Linked DNA regions of Sus scrofa. The protein of the gene in region 2 purifies or fractionates together with the protein of the main gene of each other region. This does not show direct contact. Links are inferred from orthologs where the notes say so. Each region holds a gene or a part of one and is shown on either strand. Other genes may lie near its edges.

Region 1 (3,811 bases), on a different chromosome or scaffold from region 2:
CAAAGGTGCAATCTTTAAAAATTTTCTACTTGTTTGCTGCTATCATTTAAAAAGTAATCTCTTATTTATAAATTGCCAATTACCTTTCTGAAGAATTGCTGTTAAGTGTTCACCTAGAAGTTGTTTCTCTACAGTAGCAATTAATGACTTCCTACAAAAAAAATTAGAATTATTGACATTTGACTTTGCTAAAAATTTACAGCCTCTCCTGGGGGGGGGAATCATATTTCAGAATTTTGTAACAGCATGAAATAAATACTTTCACAGTCTTGCTGTGGCTTTCCCCCAAATTTCTCTGGTTTTATTAGGAAAGTAAAGAATTTATCTATGCTGCTTACAGGTTCTCCTGGGTTGGTAATATTTAGGAAAGCACAGAAATACTTTCTTCTTCTATGAACACCCACTGAATTTGGGTTGTTTTGTTTTGTTTTGTTTGGGCAATGCCCGTGGCATGTGGAAGTTCCCAGGCCAGGAATCGAACCCATGCCACAGCAGCAACCGAGGCGCTGCAGTAACAACACCATATCCTTAACCTGCTCAGCTACAAGGAAACTCCTAAAATGTTTGTTTCGGTTGGCTGAACCCAGGTATAGGGGGAAGTTCCAGGGCCAGGGATTGAACCAGAGCTGCAGCAGTAAAAACGCCACTGTAGTTAACCTATAGGCCACCAGGGAAGTCCTGCACCCACTGAATTTTAATTGACCCAACATTTCAAAGATCACATCAGGTTGTAACTTTTTAAAATTACTGTCCTAAATACATACACATAACCAATAATCAAATCATTGATTAAATCTAATTAACTAGGGACAATAACTGTATTATGAAAACATTGTTAAAGTCTCAAGTCACACCTGAAAATAGTTACTAACATGTTGAATCACCCAAAGAGCCTTAGGTGATTCAACAACATAGGTTAAGGCTATTAGGCTGAGCATGTAATACTTACTGGGTGGTCTGATCTAAGTAAGTAATAAGTCTGTCTGCTTCTTCTTCTAGACGTTTGTTAACATGATGAAGATATTCAGGAACCTACAAAGATAGTTTTTTTATATTATTTTTTTCCTCCCCACAAATCATTCAGAAAATGTTAAGTCCAAAAGATCCTGGGAGCAGCCCTGTCAAATGTGACAGGGGTGAATCATATGTAAAATTATGGGTAGAGTTTATGATCCAGAATTCTGGCCTTTAAGAAGAAAGAAAAGAAGGGAGCAACTGAGAGAAAAGCGGCATAATGTTGGGAAGATAAATGCAAAGGGCAGCTTATATTCTATAAAATAGGGTCTTGTGAGACATAGTGGATTTCTTAATCGTGATTTTTAAATACCTCTCTTTCCTGCATTAATTTTTGGCCTTCAGCTGCATAGAGTCGGTTAGTTTCTTCCAAAAATCGTTGTTCAAAAGAATCCTGATAAATCTGGGAGAGGGTAACAAAATAAAGTTCAATTATTCAATAAATGTTATTATTAAATGTTCTCTATGTGAATAGTACTATGAATTTGGTTTTTAAACATCAAGCTAAGGATACCAATCAGCTCTGTAGTAAGTGAAGTCATTAACTTACTTGCAAATCAGAGAGCATGCTTAAAAGGCTTCGGAGTAAACTTCTATCAATTGCTTCACCATTCCTTTCCCTCTCAATCAAAAGAAGAATGCCATCAATTGTCTTATTCTGGACTTTCTGATCACTAATAATATGAGCTCTGAATAACTCCAGTCCCATGTCCCTAAAACAAACAAACAAAAAAACATATATAAATTAATTAATTGACAACAATACCACTTCTGGAGAGCTTGCTTAATTTCTCACCACATGTTAATTAGGGTTCCAGGCTTTGAAGCAGCAACTGTAAAAGGATAAAACCCACACATTTAATTGTAAATAACATTATTAAATTAAGGCATACAGGAAACTCATTTTGTCTTTAATGAAAACTGAAGCTAAACTCCCATGTTCCTCCATAACTAAATTTTGCTGTATTATTTTCTTTAGTGGATTTCTTCCTTGGTCAAAAAAAGAGAAAATTAGTCCAAAGCTATAAAATGGTCTTCATTGTACTGGTAATGAAGGCTTAATTGCTCATTTGTCATCTGGCTTCAGTACTCAAAAAACAGTAAACTGTCTGATAATTGCCAAAGGTAAATGCCAGGCATGTGGTGGGGGGAAGAGCTCATTAAACTCTTCTATTTTGGTGTATACAGGGAATTTTCCACGATAATGTTAAAAGATAATGAGTGACTCTTGATCAGCAACAAAATCATGCACAGACAGACCAGAGCAAACTTTAATCCCCTGGATAACAAAAAAACCCATCATAAATTATTACCTGGTGAGGGAATGTTAGCCCTCCAATATCACCAGAAGCAAGACATAATTAAAAAGATAAAACTGCTATAAATCCAAGTCTAGAAGCCAAATGTGAATTTTTAGGAGAATATACACAGCATCATTTCTTCTCTTCTGTTAGTGTAATTAAGATTTGATTATGATTTGAAAAAAATCTTTTCAATTTTTTTCTGGCATCCTTACCAAATGGAGGGTAGCATTGAATTCTGAAGAACGTAAGTCCTATCCAGAAACAAAAAAATGCTTCTGATCATTATCTGCCAAGGAAAAAAATAAACAATTCTTTTATGTCATGCAGTTGAAATATTGGCTCTTGATAAAATAAGATTGCAGGGTTTACTTGTATATATACTAGACTACTAGGGTCAAACATACAGATAAACACATCTACCTGAGAATAAACCCATACCATTTTTATTAAACTATTCTATTGTCTTAATTCTTGATATACTTTACAGAAAAAAAGATACCTAATCAATTAATCAATTTTGGGGGGAAGGCGAACCTGCAGCATATGAAAGTGCTGGGCTATGGATCGAATCAGAGGTACAGCTGCCGGCCTATGCCGTCAAGCCACAATGGGAATTCAAAAAAAGACACTTAAAATGGTCTATGACTTCTCTGCAATTTGAGAAGTAAATGAAAATAAAAACAGAATCAAGAGGGCACACATACAATTTTTCCTCAGCAACAGTCCTCAGAGTGAAAGTACCTAAATTGTACACTTGGGATTTTGGATGGTGGGATGGATTTTAAGGTTTTTAATCTGAAGGATATCAGGTTTAAAATTATACCAAATTAAGGAAATATGAAGAGACTGTGATCTGAATAAGCTAAAATAAAGAATCATCTGGCACCTTCACAGGTAATCAAATAGCAGGGGAGACACCATCAAGACTGACAGACAGGAGTTCCTGCTGTGGTGCAGTGGGTTATGAATTCAACTGCAGAGGCCCAGGTAGCTGCAGAGGTGTGGGTTAGATCCCTGGCTGGGTACAGTGGGTTAAAGGAGCCAGTGTTGCCGCAGCTGTGGCACAGGTCACATCTGTGGCTCAGATTCAATCCCTGACTGGGTAATTTCCACATGCCACGGATGCAGCCATAAAATTAAAAAGACTGAAAGACAAAATGTAACACTTATTTAATGAGATAAATATTTTCTGGTTAAGTGTTAAGAAAATAAAAATGAATCTAAGGTACAAGTCATTCTAAAATATGGGTCTGGAGTTCCTGTCACGGCTCAGCAGGCTAAGAACCTTACTAGTATCCATGAGGATGCAGGTTCAGTCCCTGGCCTTGCTCATTGGGTTAAGGGTCCAGCATTGCCGTGAGCTATGCTGTAGGATGCAGATGTGGCTCAGATCCCCTGTTGCTGTGGCTGTGGTGTAGGCCTGGCAGCTGCAGTTCTGATTTGATGCCTAGCCTAGGAACTTTCACATGCCCCAGGTGTGGCCCTGAAAAGTG
Region 2 (4,477 bases):
ACCTGCCCTCCAATGTGCCCGTGGCAACAGGGCGCCCACCTCTGTCGGGGCCACCGGGCCCGGCTCTGGCAACATCCCCTGTGCTGCGAACAGCGAGTACAGAGCGCAGGCGTCACCTGCCGTTAGAACCCCGCAGCCTGGGGACAGGGGGCCCTCAAAACCTACCTGTTCAAGGAGCAAAAGCCTCAGGAGGAGCCCGTCCAGAGGCCACTGGCTCTCTCGCAGGGAGCAGCTCCCCGCACCCCTGGGACGAGGTGGCCTGAGGCCTGCCGCCCATGCCCCTCAAAGGTGCATGAAGATCTCCTACGAAGCCAGCCCTTCACTGTTTATTTGGTACAACTGCACTGTGTTCTGGGAACTGGCCTTGGGGGCATGGCTGCGGGTCCAGAGGCGAGCAGGAAAGAGCAGGAGGGTGGCTGTCCCTGCCACAGGCAGCCAAGGGGACGCGACGAACGGCAAATGGGGAGAGGAAAGCAGACCGGCCATCGGGGAGCGGGGGCAGGCGAGGCGGCCAGACGGAAAGACCCTGCGAGCATCTCCGGCGTCTGAACGCGGGCGCACGGCTCAGACCCGGCTCAGACCCGACAGACGGAACCTGAGAGCAGGAGCTTCTCCTCTTGACACACAGCTGCCCGCTTGATAGGGACTGTGCCGAGTTCCCAGAAGGGCACGGGACCTGGGCCTGCCGGGCCTGTGGCCCAAGCCGCTCACGTCCCAAAACTGCTCCTCTGCACCCCTTGCAGAGGAAGCACGGGCTGAAACTGGCCGCCCAACCCGCATCCTTACCATTAAAAAAGTCTGCATGAACTGCCTTTTCATTGGCTGCCAAGTCCATCAGGAGCCCGGTGCTGCCTCCTGCCTGCGGACGGACAGAAGGGTTATGTCAGCGGCGTCCCCAAGAGGATGAGTGACAGTGGCTCACAGGCCCCCACTCCCCGGCAGAAAGTGTCCAGGTCAGAGACGAAGTGTAGTCGCAGGGGAAGGATTTAGTCCCACGGCTTCAGGAGCCGGCTGCAGTCAGCTGCTCTCCTAGGCCCTTGCTGGGTCCCCCCACAGCCCCCGGGGGCTTCCACGGACCTGCACCGCCAACCTTCTCCCATACGCAGTACTTGCAGGGGGTGGGGGAGACGGCACTTGCAGGAATTACTGTGAAGGGCTGCTCAGTCTTCGTTCCTAGGTTCCCCCCTCCCCTTTTCAATAAACACCTGCCACTGCCCCCAGTGGCACCACTTCTGTGTAAACCTCGAGAAGAGGGCTCAGCGCCCTACTGGCCGTCGTCACAGAGGCCCGGCTGTGCGCAAAACTGAGCCCGGCGATCTCTCTGCTCTGAGACGCTCCCTGCCGTGAGACGTGAACCACTTCCCTCGCGAAACCAACCTGCGGACCGGGGCTCTGGCAGCCATAAAACAATGCCATGGCCAGACGCGGGCGATCTGATGAGCGGTTTGAGGCACTTAACGTCACTCCGTGACGGGTGACCAGAGTCCTTTGGTGGCGGCACCCTGGACGCCCGGCCCACAGGTTCCTGCTGCTACCATGACCCCCAGCATCCCCAAGGCTGTGGGCTCCGCCTCTTCCTGGCTGGAATAGCTGAGCACCTCTGGGTCCCCTCTCACAGCTGCTCTGAGCAACCAGAACTCTCAGGGCCTCCCTCCCCCGCCCACCCCACAGCAAGCCATGCAGACCCCGCCAGGGACGGCCGGTGGAGCTTGTCCCCACTCCCACCTGAGGGGTCGCCTTCATTCGTCTGCATGGTGCCACTCTCCCACCCCCAAGCTCTCCTGAGCGACCGTCCTGCAAACCCGTCAGAGATCATCACGCCCCACTGCAAGGCCCCGGGTGACACCCCCCACCCCAGCCCCGGGGCCTAGAGCAGGGACTGTAACACAGGACTGAGAAGCAGGGGGTTAGTGGAAGTGCCTGAGTGGAGAGGAGACCCACCCGTCCCAGCGCAGCCACCCCTGCCCCCTTCCCCAGCTCCATCCCGTTCTCTCTCCAGGCACCTGAGGAGCCTCCGTGTTAAATCACAGGGCCTTCCTTCCCTTAGACCCCTTCAGGGTGGCTCCTTCCAGGCCTTCTCCCCCCAGCACGGCTTCAGGATGCGGCTGCAGTCAGCTGCTCTCCTAAGCCCTTGCTGGGTCACCCCAAAGCCCCCGGGGGCTTCCATCGACCTGCACCGCCAACCTTCTCCCATGCTTCGTACTTGCAGGCCGCCTTTCTCTGTCCCACCATGAGCTCCAGGGGAACACAGGCTGGGTCTGTCCCCCACCCCCTGAGCTTTGAGAGAGAAATCCAGGCCCTGACGCCGAGCAGCTGGCCGGACACGCCGAGCTCACTGAGCACCAACACCGGACAGGAACGCCCCGTGACCACAGGATGGGGTAAACGAAAACGCAGGACCACTTCACAACGCCGGTCACAGCGGGAGGAGAGCGGGCACCGCAGGGGGCACGTACCTGCCAAACGGCCTCTCCTCCGCCTCCCAGGCTGGCGGCCGCTTCTCGCCCAAGTGCCGCGCGCCAGCCGGGCTCTGGTCTCCCCTCCTTCCAGACGCCCCACTAGGGGCTCACTCCCACCGCCCGACTGCAGGCAACTCCGAGCGGGCCCACCTCCACCTCCACCGCCTGACAGGAGCTCAACCCGGTCCCCAGGGTCTCCCCCGGGCGTCCCTGCGGGTCCTCACCGCAACCCCGGCCGCAGACATCCCGGCCCCAATTCTCCCTTAGAGGAAGGAACCGCGGGAGCGCGAGCGGGCCGCGCAGGCCGCCTCCTCCTCTCGCCCCGGACCCGGCGCGCCCGAGAACAGGCCCTGGCTTCGCCGCCCGCCCGCCCGCCCGCCGCCCGGCGCCGCCCGCCTCACCTCGTCCAGGTCCACGTAGGGACCTGCGCCCTCGGGAAACATCTCGTCCACCGCCGGCTTCATCTCCTCCTGCAGCCCCGGGCGTTCCCGATCCACTTCCGGCCCGCCGACGGCCTCTTCCGGTGCACGCCTTGCGTGGCAAGTCTAGACGCAGGAGGGCCGCAGACTCTATGGTTTCCTCTCGCCCTCTGGTCAGTCTAGACTCCGGAGGACCTTCAACTCTATGGTTCGCTCCTCCGTTCTTCTTTACCCGCAGGGCTGGCCCTGGTCCAGGCCGGTGGGGAAAGGGTTTCGTCTGCCTGTCAGCACACGAGGGAAGCTGCTCAATGACTTTACGGTGGCCCGTGGCCACAGTTTAGCCCTAAGGGCCTGGCACAGACAGGTGCCCAAGAAGTACCTATTAAAGGAGGTGAGTGGCTAACGGGGTGAAAAGGCAACTCGCAGAATGGGAGAAAATATTGTAAACCATATGTCTGATAAGGAGTTAATATTCCAGAATGTATAGAGACTTCCTAAAGTGCAACAACGAAAAAAACAGGGAGTCTGATTGAAAAATAGACTTGAATAGACGTTTCTCAGAGCAGATGCATAAATGGCCAGGAAACCCATGAAAAGATGCTCCACATTACTGATCCTTAAAGGAATGCAAACCAAACAGCACCGAGACACCGCCCACACCATCAGGATGGCCGCTGTCAAAACCCCAGAAAACAGCAAACGCTGGCAAGGAGGGGGGGTGATTGGAAGCCCTGTGCACTGTTGGCTGGACTGTAAGATGGTACAATGTGGAGGTTCCTCAAAAATTAAGCATGGATTTACTTATAGATTATAGTAAATAAACTTACAGAAGCATAGATGCCACTTCTGGGTATGTATCCAAATTGAAACCAGGGTCTCCAGGAGATATCTGTAGACCCATGCTCACAGCAGCGTTCTTCACGATGGCCAAAATGTGGAAGCAGCTGGGGAAGGTGTCCATCAGCGTCCGAATGGTTGAGCAAAATGTGGTCCATCCATACTAGGGAATGTTATTCAGCCTTTAAAAGGAAGGGAATTCTGCCACATGCTGCAATGTGGATGAACCCTGCAGCCATTACGCTTAGGGAAATCACCAAAAGACAGATACTGTACAGTTCCACCTGCAGGAGATACCAGAGGAACCAAATTCATAGGCAGAAAGTAGAATGGGGCTGCAGGAGGGGAGTGAGTGTGTAATGGGGAGAGTTTCAGGTGGGGAGGATGAAGTCGTCCGGAGTTGATTGTGCCGCCATGGTAATGATGGGTACGCTCACTGCCCCTCAAAAACAGTCAGGAGAGTGTGTTTTCGGTTATATGTATTGTATTATATGTTTTCTAAGAAGAATGTGAATGTGCGAGAATGGAGGGCGGCAGGGGTAGGGAACACTTTTAGACTTAGGTAGGCTTGGGGGCTGGGCTGCCAGATAAGTGGGGGTGGGGGAGGGAAGGATGGCTCCCGGGAGCGAGGAAATGCTGAGCAGGGATTGGGGCCAGGGTGGGGTGGACAGCACAGGGCCCAGGGAGAAGGGAAAACTGACTGAACACGTGTGTGAGCCTCTGATGTCACCCTGACATGAGCCACAAGGGCAAGTCAGACCA

What was found.
Region 1: the proteins of COPS9 (region 2) and CUL4B purify together in Homo sapiens (affinity purification with mass spectrometry; 3 studies listed by BioGRID and IntAct, with this or other methods). This does not show direct contact. The link is inferred for Sus scrofa from reciprocal best matches to the Homo sapiens genes COPS9 and CUL4B.

What each region holds. Positions count from the first base shown.
Region 1 is NC_010461.5:98,688,853-98,692,663, forward strand, and holds part of CUL4B (cullin-4B), read right to left. Parts: intron 2,605-3,811; coding exon 2,531-2,604; intron 1,728-2,530; coding exon 1,565-1,727; intron 1,418-1,564; coding exon 1,328-1,417; intron 1,033-1,327; coding exon 950-1,032; intron 152-949; coding exon 84-151; intron 1-83.
Region 2 is NC_010457.5:139,261,238-139,265,714, forward strand, and holds the start of COPS9 (COP9 signalosome complex subunit 9), read right to left. Parts: upstream 3,016-4,477; 5' UTR 2,924-3,015; coding exon 2,861-2,923; intron 860-2,860; coding exon 787-859; intron 1-786.